2 linked regions of the Drosophila melanogaster genome follow. Changing the gene in region 2 together with the main gene of any one other region gives a genetic interaction. Each region holds a gene or a part of one and is shown on either strand. Other genes may lie near its edges. The genes, in order: Rab5 and DCTN2-p50.

Evidence for each region.
Region 1: of DCTN2-p50 (region 2) and Rab5, changing one suppresses a phenotype caused by changing the other (phenotypic suppression), as found in Drosophila melanogaster (one study listed by BioGRID).

Annotation. Positions count from the first base shown.
Region 1 is NT_033779.5:2,359,128-2,367,287, reverse strand, and holds Rab5 (Rab5), read left to right. Parts: upstream 1-2,014; 5' UTR 2,015-2,227; intron 2,228-2,333; exon of another isoform or gene 2,334-2,451; intron 2,452-2,566; exon of another isoform or gene 2,567-2,975; intron 2,976-3,783; exon of another isoform or gene 3,784-3,883; intron 3,884-4,506; exon of another isoform or gene 4,507-4,613; intron 4,614-5,432; exon of another isoform or gene 5,433-5,549; intron 5,550-5,702; 5' UTR 5,703-5,859; coding exon 5,860-6,128; intron 6,129-6,195; coding exon 6,196-6,316; intron 6,317-6,486; coding exon 6,487-6,655; intron 6,656-6,718; coding exon 6,719-6,819; 3' UTR 6,820-6,832; intron 6,833-6,894; 3' UTR 6,895-7,722; downstream 7,723-8,160. Other genes in the region: Axud1 (AXIN1 up-regulated 1), read right to left, coding at 1-967.
Region 2 is NT_033778.4:8,889,783-8,893,842, forward strand, and holds DCTN2-p50 (dynactin 2, p50 subunit), read left to right. Parts: upstream 1-2,049; 5' UTR 2,050-2,171; coding exon 2,172-2,207; intron 2,208-2,291; coding exon 2,292-3,213; intron 3,214-3,279; coding exon 3,280-3,464; 3' UTR 3,465-3,557; downstream 3,558-4,060. Other genes in the region: CG8272 (uncharacterized protein), read right to left, coding at 1-13, 77-1,336, 1,468-1,518. UniProt on the Drosophila melanogaster protein: Modulates cytoplasmic dynein binding to an organelle, and plays a role in prometaphase chromosome alignment and spindle organization during mitosis. May play a role in synapse formation during brain development.

The sequences.
Region 1 (8,160 bases), on a different chromosome or scaffold from region 2:
CACAACTGAAGCCCTGTTGTCGTGGGAAGTAGAACACCTTCACCTCGTCAAAGTTGATGGAGCGCTTAGTCCGCTTCTGGGGGGCTACTGGAGGGGCAGACATGTCGGGCACCAGATCTATAGCATCGCTTTCCGAATCTTCGAGTCTCCGTTTAAGGTTGGACCTTATGGGCTTCGTTTCCACCTTTTTCTGGATTTCCGGCTCGGCTTCTTTCTCCGCCTGATCCTTGAGTAACGCGGAGGTTTCACTTCCTAAACCAGAATCAGACCCACCATCTCTAAGCTCATCCTCTTTCGGTTTGGCTGGCTGGGCAGGCTCCAATGATGCTTGGTTGTTGGACACCACCTCCGCTGATCTGGTGGCCATTTCCGTCTCATTGTTCAACTTCAGCCAAAGAAGTTCTCCACTGGTGTCGACCTCCTCGTTTGTGGTGACCGACGCGGAGTCAAGAATGTTGTCAATTGCCAGTGGGTCCTCGGAGACTGCGTCGGAAGCTATTGAAGAGTTAAGATCCGCATCGCCTAGTACGATTATCTCATTATTAGGATAGTTCTCCAGCTCAAGGAACTGCTCCTCTAGTTCGGTGTCCGCCGGGCCGTGAGCAAAGTCCGCCAGTTCATCATCGAGCTGCTCAAGCGGCATGGGTAGGGAAGCCAACGCCTTGGCTTTCGCTGCGTGCACCTTGCTGGCGTCAATTATGGAGGTTTTGATCTGCCTCTCGATGTCGTCGTCGTCATCGTCCAGGTGGGGAAATATTTGCAGCTGATGCTGCCGCTCCTCCGGTTCGCTCTGATTATCCTTGTGATCCAGATGCCGCTGATCCTTCCTTTCGCCTTCGTCGTGGGCAGTTAGGCTGGTGGTCCCCTCCCTTTGGCCGGCGGCCTTGTTTCCTGATGGGCTAAACATATTGGAGCCGCTCGCATTTTTTTGTATGTACGTAAATATTTTTTTTATAGGACTAAACATGCTATCCGTGTCGAGGTCCCTAGATCATTGAGTGTCCTTTGGTCATCTGCAAGAAAGTAGGAGGAAATGGTTTTACATAATGTTGCTTGGAAATTTCCTTCGCAGGTAGCGAAAACGTATAGATCAGGTGTGTATGTACAGTGTCCATTCGAGAGGGAGAACTGCCGGGAATGCGAAACTTTATTTCTGAGTAAATTAATTACACCTGTTTACGTTTCGTAAGAGCCCCTGACCAGGTCCTAGATCCAACAAACAAATTGCCAAAAGCCTAATGAGTGTACCTTTTACAACTTGTGTAAATATTTAGAAATATTAATTTAGCTCAAGTATTAATTTTACTGCTCGCAAGAAATCAATTGTTTTCTGTGTACGTGTAATGGTTTAAAAATATATATCTTTCGCTTTAATGTTCCGCTCACTTGTATGTTCGCTTTTTCGAATGAGCACTGTGCTTGGATGGGTGTGCGTGTGCAGAATCCTTTGAAATCCTGGATCCCCGAGAATTTCGCACGCTAGAAAGGAGACCACCCGAAAAGTAGACATACCGCTAACCAAAATCAATATTGATTAGCTTCTTTTTTTGGGGGCCCACCTTTGCGCTTATATTTTCGCAGCCAAGCCAACGGCCGGACTCGCAAGATCGGTGGGATTTATCCTTTTTGCAATTTGCGTTGCAGCTGCGATAAAAAACTGAGAGCGAGAGAGATGACGAAAGACGCAACTGTGTGCGTGTGTTTGTGCAAGTCTGTGCGAGTGTGTGCGTGAAGGAGGCGAATCAGGACACAAAGGTCGGTATTCTTTTATTAACACAATCACTTTACTATGCGCCTGGCAACGCCCAAAATTATGATTTATTTTTTAAAACTCATTTCGCACTTCCGTAAACTTTTTCTTAATTTTTCACTTCTTCTTTTCTCGCAATGTTATTACTTCTTCTATTCAGTGTGCCCGTCGCTGGACCCCTGCAACATGACAACAGTCCTGCACCGATCCAAATGTACTTAAAAATACCAGGCAAAAATTGATAAAAGTGTATACGATAGAGCGTGATAGATAAATGTGACTCACTAGTAGATGGTGCGTGTATTTGCTAAGAAATAATTCAGAAGAAAAATTAAAACAAATTCACCAATGGAGCCGGTTCCTGCAAGCTCATTGATTACATAAATTCATAGTAAGACAATTATTATGTAAAATATACCCGTTTTACGATTCATTAGTTGACTCGTGCAGCAAAGAAATATGTTTTGTATATTCACGGTAAGAAATGTTTATATTAAAATTTTATTTATATTGTGTAATATGTTGGTCCCACTAATCGATAGAAATATGTATCGTTGGTTGGAGCCTCTGCTAACGAGCAGAGCTTAGGATATGTTTGGCATATTCCAACAGTCGTCCTGCGGTCACACATAAAATTCCAAGAAAGTTGTAAGTTAAGTTTACTAATAAACCAGGCGATAATTTCGCTAGCCATTAGCAAGGCAAGGAAGCTAAAAAAGACAAAAATCTTTGGCAAATCAATGGTGACGTCGCCCAGGAAGTTAATCGACAAAAACACGACCTGCGACGCGACGATAATTTTGCGAGAGGCGAGTCAGTCGCTATCTATCTCCCTCTGCGCTCGTTTCGTTTCGTTTCTTGGGGCTGTTTTGGGGCACACAATTGAAAGGAAAAAACGTAAATGCAAATGGTCAACTGGTCTCCAAGTGCCGCGTTTAGAAGAGTGCGTAATTCGGCGGAAAGTCGAGTGCTTTTGCGTTGTTGTTTTCGCTCACCCCTCGTAATTAATTAAGAAAGTTGTGTAAAATTTTTTCGCCCCGTCCGCCATAGTGCGAGTGTAAGAGCGAGCGCGATAGATGGCCCTGAATTTTGGGTGCGTTGCCCATGAGAGTGGGCGCTAGAGCGAGACGGCCGTACGACCTGCTCCAAGTGCAGCGTGCACAGTGGGTCGCAAGGCCTAAGATAGTTCACGAATCTAATTGTGAAGAGATAAAGAACACTGCAGGTGCACTCTGGTATGGAGTAAAGCTGGCAAAATCGGATCTTGGCCCGCATTATCACCCAATTTATCAGCGCTTTACACGCCAAAACGGATCAAAAATCGCGGTTCTTTGTTCCGCCTGTTTTGCGTCTTTAGTTATGAGAGAGAGTGTGGGTGTGTGGTGTGTGTGTATTTATCGGCAATCCGTTCCCTTATCGTGCAAGTTTCTCAAAGAACTGTCTTTGTCTCTGATGTTTCTATAAAGCCCAAATGTAAACAAAAACGCATCCTTCTATTTGTTTATTCTAGACCTTTTCGCTCGCTTTGCAAATGGAAGACCCGCATTTGTCAAGCTATACATATTTACGGAGTGATGTGTGGTGTGACAGTAAATATAACGCTAATTGTATTCTCCGTTTTCTAGACGTGCTTCAAATATGCGTGCTGAGAAAATTGCACTTGTTGACTTTTCGAGTGAGGCAATTCCACAGTCAAGCTCACGTGAATAGGGCCATGTTGATATAATGAAAATGTTTTAAGTTTCCAAAGGTGGATTTAAAACTTAATTCATGCTTAAAATTAAGCACAAGCTATGTGGACGTTCTTCTTTATTTCATATTTATATTAAATATCTTTAAAATCTAACATAAGATTTGTAACTTAATTCCACGTATTACAGCTATTTGATTGATAAAGGCTGTGGCTACGTATGGTTGTTGTTCTCGCTCTCATTCTCTTTTTTGATTCACTTGCATTTGTATTAGTCGCGTGAATGACGCATCGTCAGCTGTTCTAAAAGAACCGTAATTTCCTGAACGTTGTTTTATATTTTATTGAATTTTCCGCAGACGGGCGCGAAAGTCACTCCTGTTGTCCAAGTGACTTTAAAGTTTAATAAACCGCATTAATTACGGTTCGAATTAAAATTAGCGGTGAGTTATTTACTGACAGCTGTCCGCTTCTCAAGGAAAATTTTGCATTGGCTTAGTGAGACACACTGCTTGTTTTAATTAAATTTAAAGTGCAGTTTTCGTTTTGGCTTAGACGCAAAAAACAGCAAAATACGTCATTCGCTGGATAATGAAAAGTAATTGTAGGCGAAATTTCTTTATCGCAATGAGAGTGCGGTTTTCGAAAAGAGAGACCAAGTTGTCGGCTTCTGTATGTGTGTGTGACTGTGCACTTGGCTCCAAAGTCTCCGGGAAAAAAACAATTGAATGATCGGAAGGGAGGGGGAGAAACAAACAATTGTTGACTGACTGCATTTTTAATGGCAAAGAGAGGGCCTGCATATTTCGCTCTCTCCCTCATTCCTTGTTAATTTAATAACGCCGCACAGCGTACATGTTTGTCACGCTTTTACTTTCTCCACGTCTCCCCGTTAATTTATTTTGCATTGATTTTTATCACAGCTTCCGCCCTCACTCTGTGAATTCTCTTCGCTCTGCGCTCACTTCTCTCCACAAAGTAAACAAGACTCGTGTAGAATTCCATACCCCGATCTTCGTAGATTTATCTCCACTGTACAGTCTGGCTTCAATGTGTTAATTAATTTCTGTCGGAATTCTGAGATTCCCGTCGTCGGTCATAAAAACGAAAAGCATGTGAACGATACTTTGTGAAGATTTGAAAACGACTTTAGCTTAGTTAATATATGCAACAGTAAATATTTTTAAACAATTTTAATGATTACTCTCTGTTTAAAACGATATCTTGTTTCGGGATCAACGTATCTGTGGGACATCGGTAAAAGTGTAGTGGCCAATGGGGCGTATGATTCATAAAAGTGGCACTGATAACAAAAATACTGTGAATGCCACACGCATTACCGCTGAATAATGCGAGGCGTCCTCTGTGTTATGTACTATTATACACATATGTACACAAATTCACCCGCCCTCGAAATATTTTCCACCAGAAAGTGTGTGAATTATCAATTGCGCGGTAGCCCCTAGAGGAGCTGCAATAAATATCTTTTACGATAACTTAGATTTCCCGCACAAGGGACCGATAAGAATGTTGTAGTTTCGATTACTTGTAAACCCCTTATCTGCCACGAAGAAAGGGAAAAACAATAATTGCGCCTAGAAAGCGCATATAAGGTTTCCCCTTTGTGTTTGCCAAAGTATTTTTAGTTGTTGATGGATTTGTATTTGCACATGTAATTAAGAATGTTTGTGTTTGTGGATGTTTGAAGCAGTCACGCAAGGAATTTTCTAAACACAACTCATAACATTGAACATCTAATCGTGGAACAATTGCTTTCACTGATTTTCCTATCACAAGCTTATCAGTACTATTATGTTGCCAAGTGACACAAATAGTAATGATATGTTTTCGGATGTGTAACACTTATAAATATAAATATAAATAAACTAATATAAGCTCTAATGTGAGTTTTTGTAGGGCGTACTGCTTTCAATTTCAATTGAATTTATCAGTGACCATTGGCAGACGCTTCCCTTTTCCTCTGTTTCATTTACTGATGGAAAACGTCGGCTTTTTGTGCATATTCTCGGATATGTACATATTGAACTGGGCTTGTCGACGGCGTCATTAAACAAACAAAGGCGCCACACAATCATCTGATGGTTTTATGTGGGTTTTATATTCATCCACATGGGCAGCATGTTTTCAAGGGGACTGAGTTTAAGCCCTAAAAACGTACCATTATGGCAGAAGAATTGGAAGCACTCAATTTCGTTTTTATCCGTCTCCATTATAAATATGTACATTATTTGTATTTTGCAGATTCCGCATCCACACTCAGCAGCAATCTTAGCAGAAAGACTTACTCAGCAGAAGAGGGAGTGAGTTGCAGTAACCGTCCGTAGAACCAAATATCAGTTGCCATCTCAGAGGAGGAAGAGCGCATCCACATTCGCATCCGATCCAACCCGAACCGATCATGGCAACCACTCCACGCAGCGGCGGTGCCAGCGGCACTGGAACGGCGCAGCGGCCCAATGGCACCTCGCAGAACAAAAGCTGCCAATTCAAGTTGGTGCTCCTCGGCGAGTCCGCTGTGGGCAAGTCCTCACTGGTGCTGCGCTTCGTCAAGGGACAGTTCCACGAGTACCAGGAGAGCACGATAGGTGCGGCCTTTCTGACACAGACTATTTGCATAGAGGACACTGTCGTTAAGTTCGAGATCTGGGACACGGCTGGCCAGGAGCGGTAAGTATCGCTGGATAGATCACCCAACTGAAAGCTTCATCTGACATACTTATATTCGCTTTTGTAGGTACCACAGCTTAGCTCCCATGTATTATCGAGGAGCGCAGGCCGCTATTGTCGTCTATGATATACAGAATCAGGACAGTTTTCAGCGTGCGAAGACCTGGGTCAAGGAACTGCATAAACAAGTGAGTGTCAGCGGGGAAACTTGAATATCGTGCAGAGTGTTTTAATATTATAATCATTTATATTATTGCTCATGAAGTGCCTCAGTTCAATATTCTTAACTCGAGAAATTCGTTCACTTGATACGTAAATTATATTACATAAAATATGTATTAATAAAACTTTTTTCCAGGCCTCACCAAACATTGTCATTGCGCTGGCCGGCAACAAGGCAGATTTGTCAAACATTCGCGTCGTAGAGTTCGATGAAGCGAAGCAATATGCCGAGGAGAACGGGCTGCTGTTCATGGAAACCTCCGCCAAGACGGGCATGAATGTGAACGACATCTTCTTGGCCATTGGTAAGCTATAAGGAGCCGTCGTAAACGCTTCGAAAACTTTGCTAATCACTACCCCAACCACAGCCAAGAAACTACCTAAGAACGATGGCGCCAACAATCAGGGAACCAGCATAAGGCCGACTGGAACCGAAACAAATCGACCGACGAACAACTGCTGCAAGTGATGTCCCTTCGTAGGTAAGTTAATTGCGTTGGAAATACGGTTGCATTACTAACACAGTTTTTTTTTGGCTTTACAGAAAATGAAATTTCCAACGAGAGATTTGAAAAGTTTATGCTGATAATTATAAATAAAAAAATTATTTAAAAATTCAACAGAATCAGAAAGAAATACCTAAAGCCGGCTCTCGCAGGGGACGAATTTCATTTGAGAGCCACGAAACCAATAATGATAAAGACCACATAAGAATTATAAGCATTAAACAAAGGAGCTCCCATTCCCAACATAAACGAAAGTTGCAATTAAAGAAAGTTAGTTACAAATTCCCACACCCGATTTCCCCCATTACGCTCGATATCTGTCCAAAAAATATACAAGCAAACTGACACTCACGCAATTGAGCTAAAATATCAGTATAATTCCAACATAAACCATTTCAAATAACAACGCAAATTAATAATGAAAACTAAACATGAGAAGAAAGCGCAGGGTTTTTGGAGATTTCATCGTGTCGTAGAAAGTTTGAAATCGTATTGTATAAAAAAAAGAGAGAAACCCCGAAACCAACTAAGCGAGCAAAGAATATTTGTAAAGATTACATGTCGTGTAAGATTCTGAGCATTAAGTAAGGGGCAGATTCCAGTTGCAGTTGTTCTCAGCAGCGTTCCAAATAAAACAAACAAAACAAACAAACACCACAAGGAGCAAATGTTCAGGCCAGCGGCTGAAGATCCTCGCTCGCCTCGGTTTGTGGCAATGTGTGTGTCTCTACGGCTCCGGAGCTCGGACTCCAGATCCGGATACGGACGCGGATGATTCGACTCCGGGTCGCGGCGGACACGTGTGATAGTTGCAATTTATATAAATTATATATACACATATGAAAATGAAGGAAAACGAAAACCACAAAAAAAAAAAGAAAACCAATTATGCATACTTTTAGATTTTTTTATTTTTCAATTTCGCCTTGCGTTGAACTATTTTCCACATTCTAGCAACAATCGAAGATTTAATGCTACTATCTTTAAACGTAAACGAGAACGGAGATACTATCGTAATCCATAAAAATTAAACTTACATCTAGTATGCAATTAAGCGGAGAGGAAGTAAAGTGAATTAAAATAAATAAATAAAACAAATCGAACAACACAATACCGTAAACAACTTGTTTAAATCGTTCCACAAACATCAAAGATCCGATGCATATTTCTTTCCAATTCGTAATTTTTATGTTGTCTGTATGTATTTAAATTTAAAATTTATAAATTATAATAAATGAAAACATCGTATATACTTATATATATATATATATGACTGCGTATATACATATATGGTCATTCGATTT
Region 2 (4,060 bases):
CTGCATCGGTTAACTATATTTAAATAAAACCAAATTACAAGGCAGAACTTATATTTATCGCGACTTTCAGTCTTACCCCACTGCAGTGCTCTAAAGAGAGCTCGCGCAGCCATCGCAGCTGGCCGATGACCGACTGGATAGCCTCATCGGTGGCTCCATTGACGCAGTGATTCAAGTGCAGTGATCGCAGACATCGTAGGTTACTGGCAATTGCCTTGATGCATTCCTCGCAGATCTGAAGGTATGAAACGTTCAGCTCCTGTATTACCGGATTCTCCTCGCTAGCGATGCCTTCTATGATGCCGCTGCTTGTCAAGTTATCGCAGTTTGAGATGTCCAGACTTTTGAGACACTTTAGCTTGGCCAAGTGGATGGCACCAGCATTTGTAATGCTCAGGCAGCCGTTCACCTTCAAGTGCTCCAGCTGCGGATTAGTTTGTACCAAGGCGGCCAGATTTTCATCGTTAACACACATTGTGGCCGACAAATCGAGGGCACACAACTGGGGCTGTGTGGCTAGAAAGTTCAGGATTGTGGTGCAGTTAAGCTGTCTGCATCCGGCCAAATAGAGGCGCTGCAGTTGGAGATTGAGGTCGCAAAGGGCCAACAAAGCCTGGCCAATTAGGGTGTGGCTAAAGTTCAACACGCGCAACGTACGTCGCTGCAGGTTCAGAATGGTGAGGATGAACTTGAACGTGAGCACAGACTCGCTGGGCAAAACGTGATCCGAGGAGCTGGTGGCAGGGTAAAATCTGCGATGAATAGCATTGTGAAAGGCTATGTGACAGCCGGACATGTTAATCGCTTCCAGACTGGGCATGAACGATGTGAGACGCATAAGAATGGCATCCGTGAGGTATTGGTTCTCGCACAGCGTCAGCTCCTTGATGCCGGCCAGATTGCTTGCCAGGTCGTTTAGGTCAGGACAGGAGTTGTTGTAAGAGTCCAGGAAAGAGCCGGACATGAACAGCGGCAGACAGCGCTTCAGCGACAGCGAGTGGAGATGGGGCAGCACGCCCAGCATGCCGTAGAACTGTTTGTCATTCAAATCCACATTGTCCAGAGCCAGGGACTGAGCGGTCCTGCCCATGAAGCGCATCAATTCCTTTACTTGTCCCAGTGTCACGTCCTCGAACAGGAAGTGCTGGAAACGCCGCTCGCAGCGCATCAGATCCACTCCAGGACTCAATTGATCCGATAGCACCACCTTGGAGAAGCAGACTCGCGTGCGCTGGTTAAATTCCGCCTGATCCAGCGCCGCATGCCATCGCTGGCAGGTGGATCCTGCCGCTTGTAAGTCCGAGTAGCCGAGATAGCTGAAAATCTTCAAAACAATCTGGGGGCGGAACAGAAAAAAACAAAATCAGCTGACTGCCCTAACAGGTATATGAATATGCAGATATAGATACGCTCGAAATGATGGATTGGTCACGGGACCGCGGCAGTCCGTTCACATTATATGCTCACCTCCAGCGGCAGATCATCGTATCTATGCAACCCGTACTCTAAGCCAGACATTACTCTATTGTTTTCGGATGCAAAATATTAAGATTAGTACAACCAACTAGCAGCTCCCACCGCCCACTCGCTTCGCCCGCAAACTACACGAAAACTACAGTGTTGACTAACTTAGTACCTGTGCTAGGTACAGTAGGACCGTGCCTTTTTTCTATCCTCACTGGTCTATAAAATACCAGAAGAAAAGTGTACCTTCATTGATTTACCAATTGGAAGTCGATCATGGAATTATTTACCTATTGCTTATGAATGATTTTAAATGTATATCGTTTTTCCTAAAATCAAAATAGGTTTAAATTAGCACAAAAAGCTTTAATTTATTTTTATAAATGTTTGCATCTATGAATCCAGTTAACAAAGTACAATGTGCAAGTACAATTTATTTATATCGATGATATATTTTGCAATACTATTTACTCTTAGCTTATTAGCCGTTACAAGTAATAACTGTCTTTTTTAAATGACTTTTTAGATACCTCTGTTTATAAATACTCCAATGACAACTGCACTTTGGCATTTGTTTGGTAACCGCGCACGGTAACTTTTTTTATGACATCAGATCGAATTGATTGTTGTAAAAAAGGATTTTTGAAGGTTTATAATTATTTCGTTGCCAAAGGATTCCAAACACCGCCGTCGACGTGCCCACAATAATGGCCGATCCCAAGTTCCAGAACCTACCGGGAATAGTAAGTCGGAACTCCGCACCATGGCAGTGACGTTTAAGCTTTCGTTTTTGCCCATTTATACATATATGTACTTTATGTTTTTAGGCTTATGACCAGCCGGACGTGTACGAAACTCCAGATGACCCGGAGCTCGATACATCCGACTACTACGAAGAGGAGCCGGAGAACGAAGCCATCGAGCGACTGCACATCTCGCCGAGCGTCGCTCACAAGCGCTTCAGCGGAGCAACGGTCGAGGGGAGTGTGGACTTCACGGATCGCATTGGACGACGCATGTGCCGGGGTTACGATACGCGCGGCTCCAGCGACTACGAGCTGGTTGGCCAGGGCGAGAAGGAGACGCCGGTGCAGAAGTGCCAGCGCCTGCAGATCGAGATGAACGAGCTTCTGAACGAGGTGGCCGCCTTGCAGGTGGACCGCAAGGTAGCCGACGAGGAGAAGCAGTCGTACGATGCGGTGGCCACGGTTATCAGCACGGCCCGAAAGGTGCTGGAGTCGCTGAAGCTGGAGCAAGTGCTGGGCAAGGAGCAGACGCCTGGAAGTAAGCAGGTGAAAGCACTCATTAGCCAGGTGGAGGAGTTCAAGCAGTCCGGCGTTCTCACAGCCATACCCACGCCTGGCACCGATCTGGCGGCCACGGCCCGCGTAGCCAGTCTAGAGCAGCGAATCTCGCAGCTGGAGAAGGTGCTGGGCGCTCAGCCGGACAAGTTGAGCCGCCTTACCGCCGCCACCAACACCACCAATGTACTAGAGGCAGTGCGTCATCTAAGCACCAAGGCGGCCCTGATACAGCCTGATAAACTGGACACCATCGAGCAGCGCCTGACCTCGCTGGCCGGCAAGATGGATGCTATCGCCGAAAAGTCCAGCGGCAGTGCCCAGGACGCCAAACGAGATCAGAAGATTACGGAACTATACGACATCGCGAAGCGCACGGAGCCAGTGGTGGAAATACTGCCGCACGTCATCGAACGCATGCAAGCCCTCGAGGCCCTCCATAAATATGGTAAGCAATTCTATTTAGCATTTTAGCATTGTGCTTGTTTCTGTAACTAATCAACTTGCTCTGCAGCAAACAATTTCGCCAAGATCATCGCAGAGATTGAGCAGAAGCAGGGAACCATCACCACTAGCTTGGTGAACAACAAGGAGCTGCTGCATTCCGTACAGGAGACTTTCGCCCAGAATCTGGAGACTATCAACAGCAAGGTGGCCAAGGTGGAGCAGCGTGTGGCGGCCATATCGTCTGCCAAATGAGTGGATGCATACCATGCGTATTAAATAAACATAGCTTATATTTATGAAAGATACCTATAATAAAGAGATCTACATTCGAGTCCAGTTCCAGTCAAAAAATAAATGCAAAGTGATCTGGAATTTAAAATGAGTTCATAATAAATATTAATATTAAAAGTGCTGAAGCTAGTTTACGAATATAAAATGCGATGGAAAATAAATCTTTAAATAATTTCGACTATCATTTTTAATAATGTATACTGATAAAAACTATTTTTAAAATTGCACATTGAAACGGAATATTTAAATTGCATACCGTTAAACTCGCAGTATATTCTGGTCGCACGCATTTGGTATTTCAGTGCGTGCCCTGTGGTATATTACGTTGGCTCAGAGCACGGTCACACTGGCCGTTCCTACGGTTCTTAAAAATATTAACGATTCCAGTTAAATTCAAGATCAAAAAGTCTCGTTGCAGCGCAAGCGAGTACAAATTGCATTCACAATTGTGTGTAAGTTGCGCAATTAGCATAATTAAAGATACTTAAAGGCCGGCGGGCACTACTGGGCCACATCTGCAATGGGGAAGCCAATGGGAAAAGTGATGACGGGGCTTA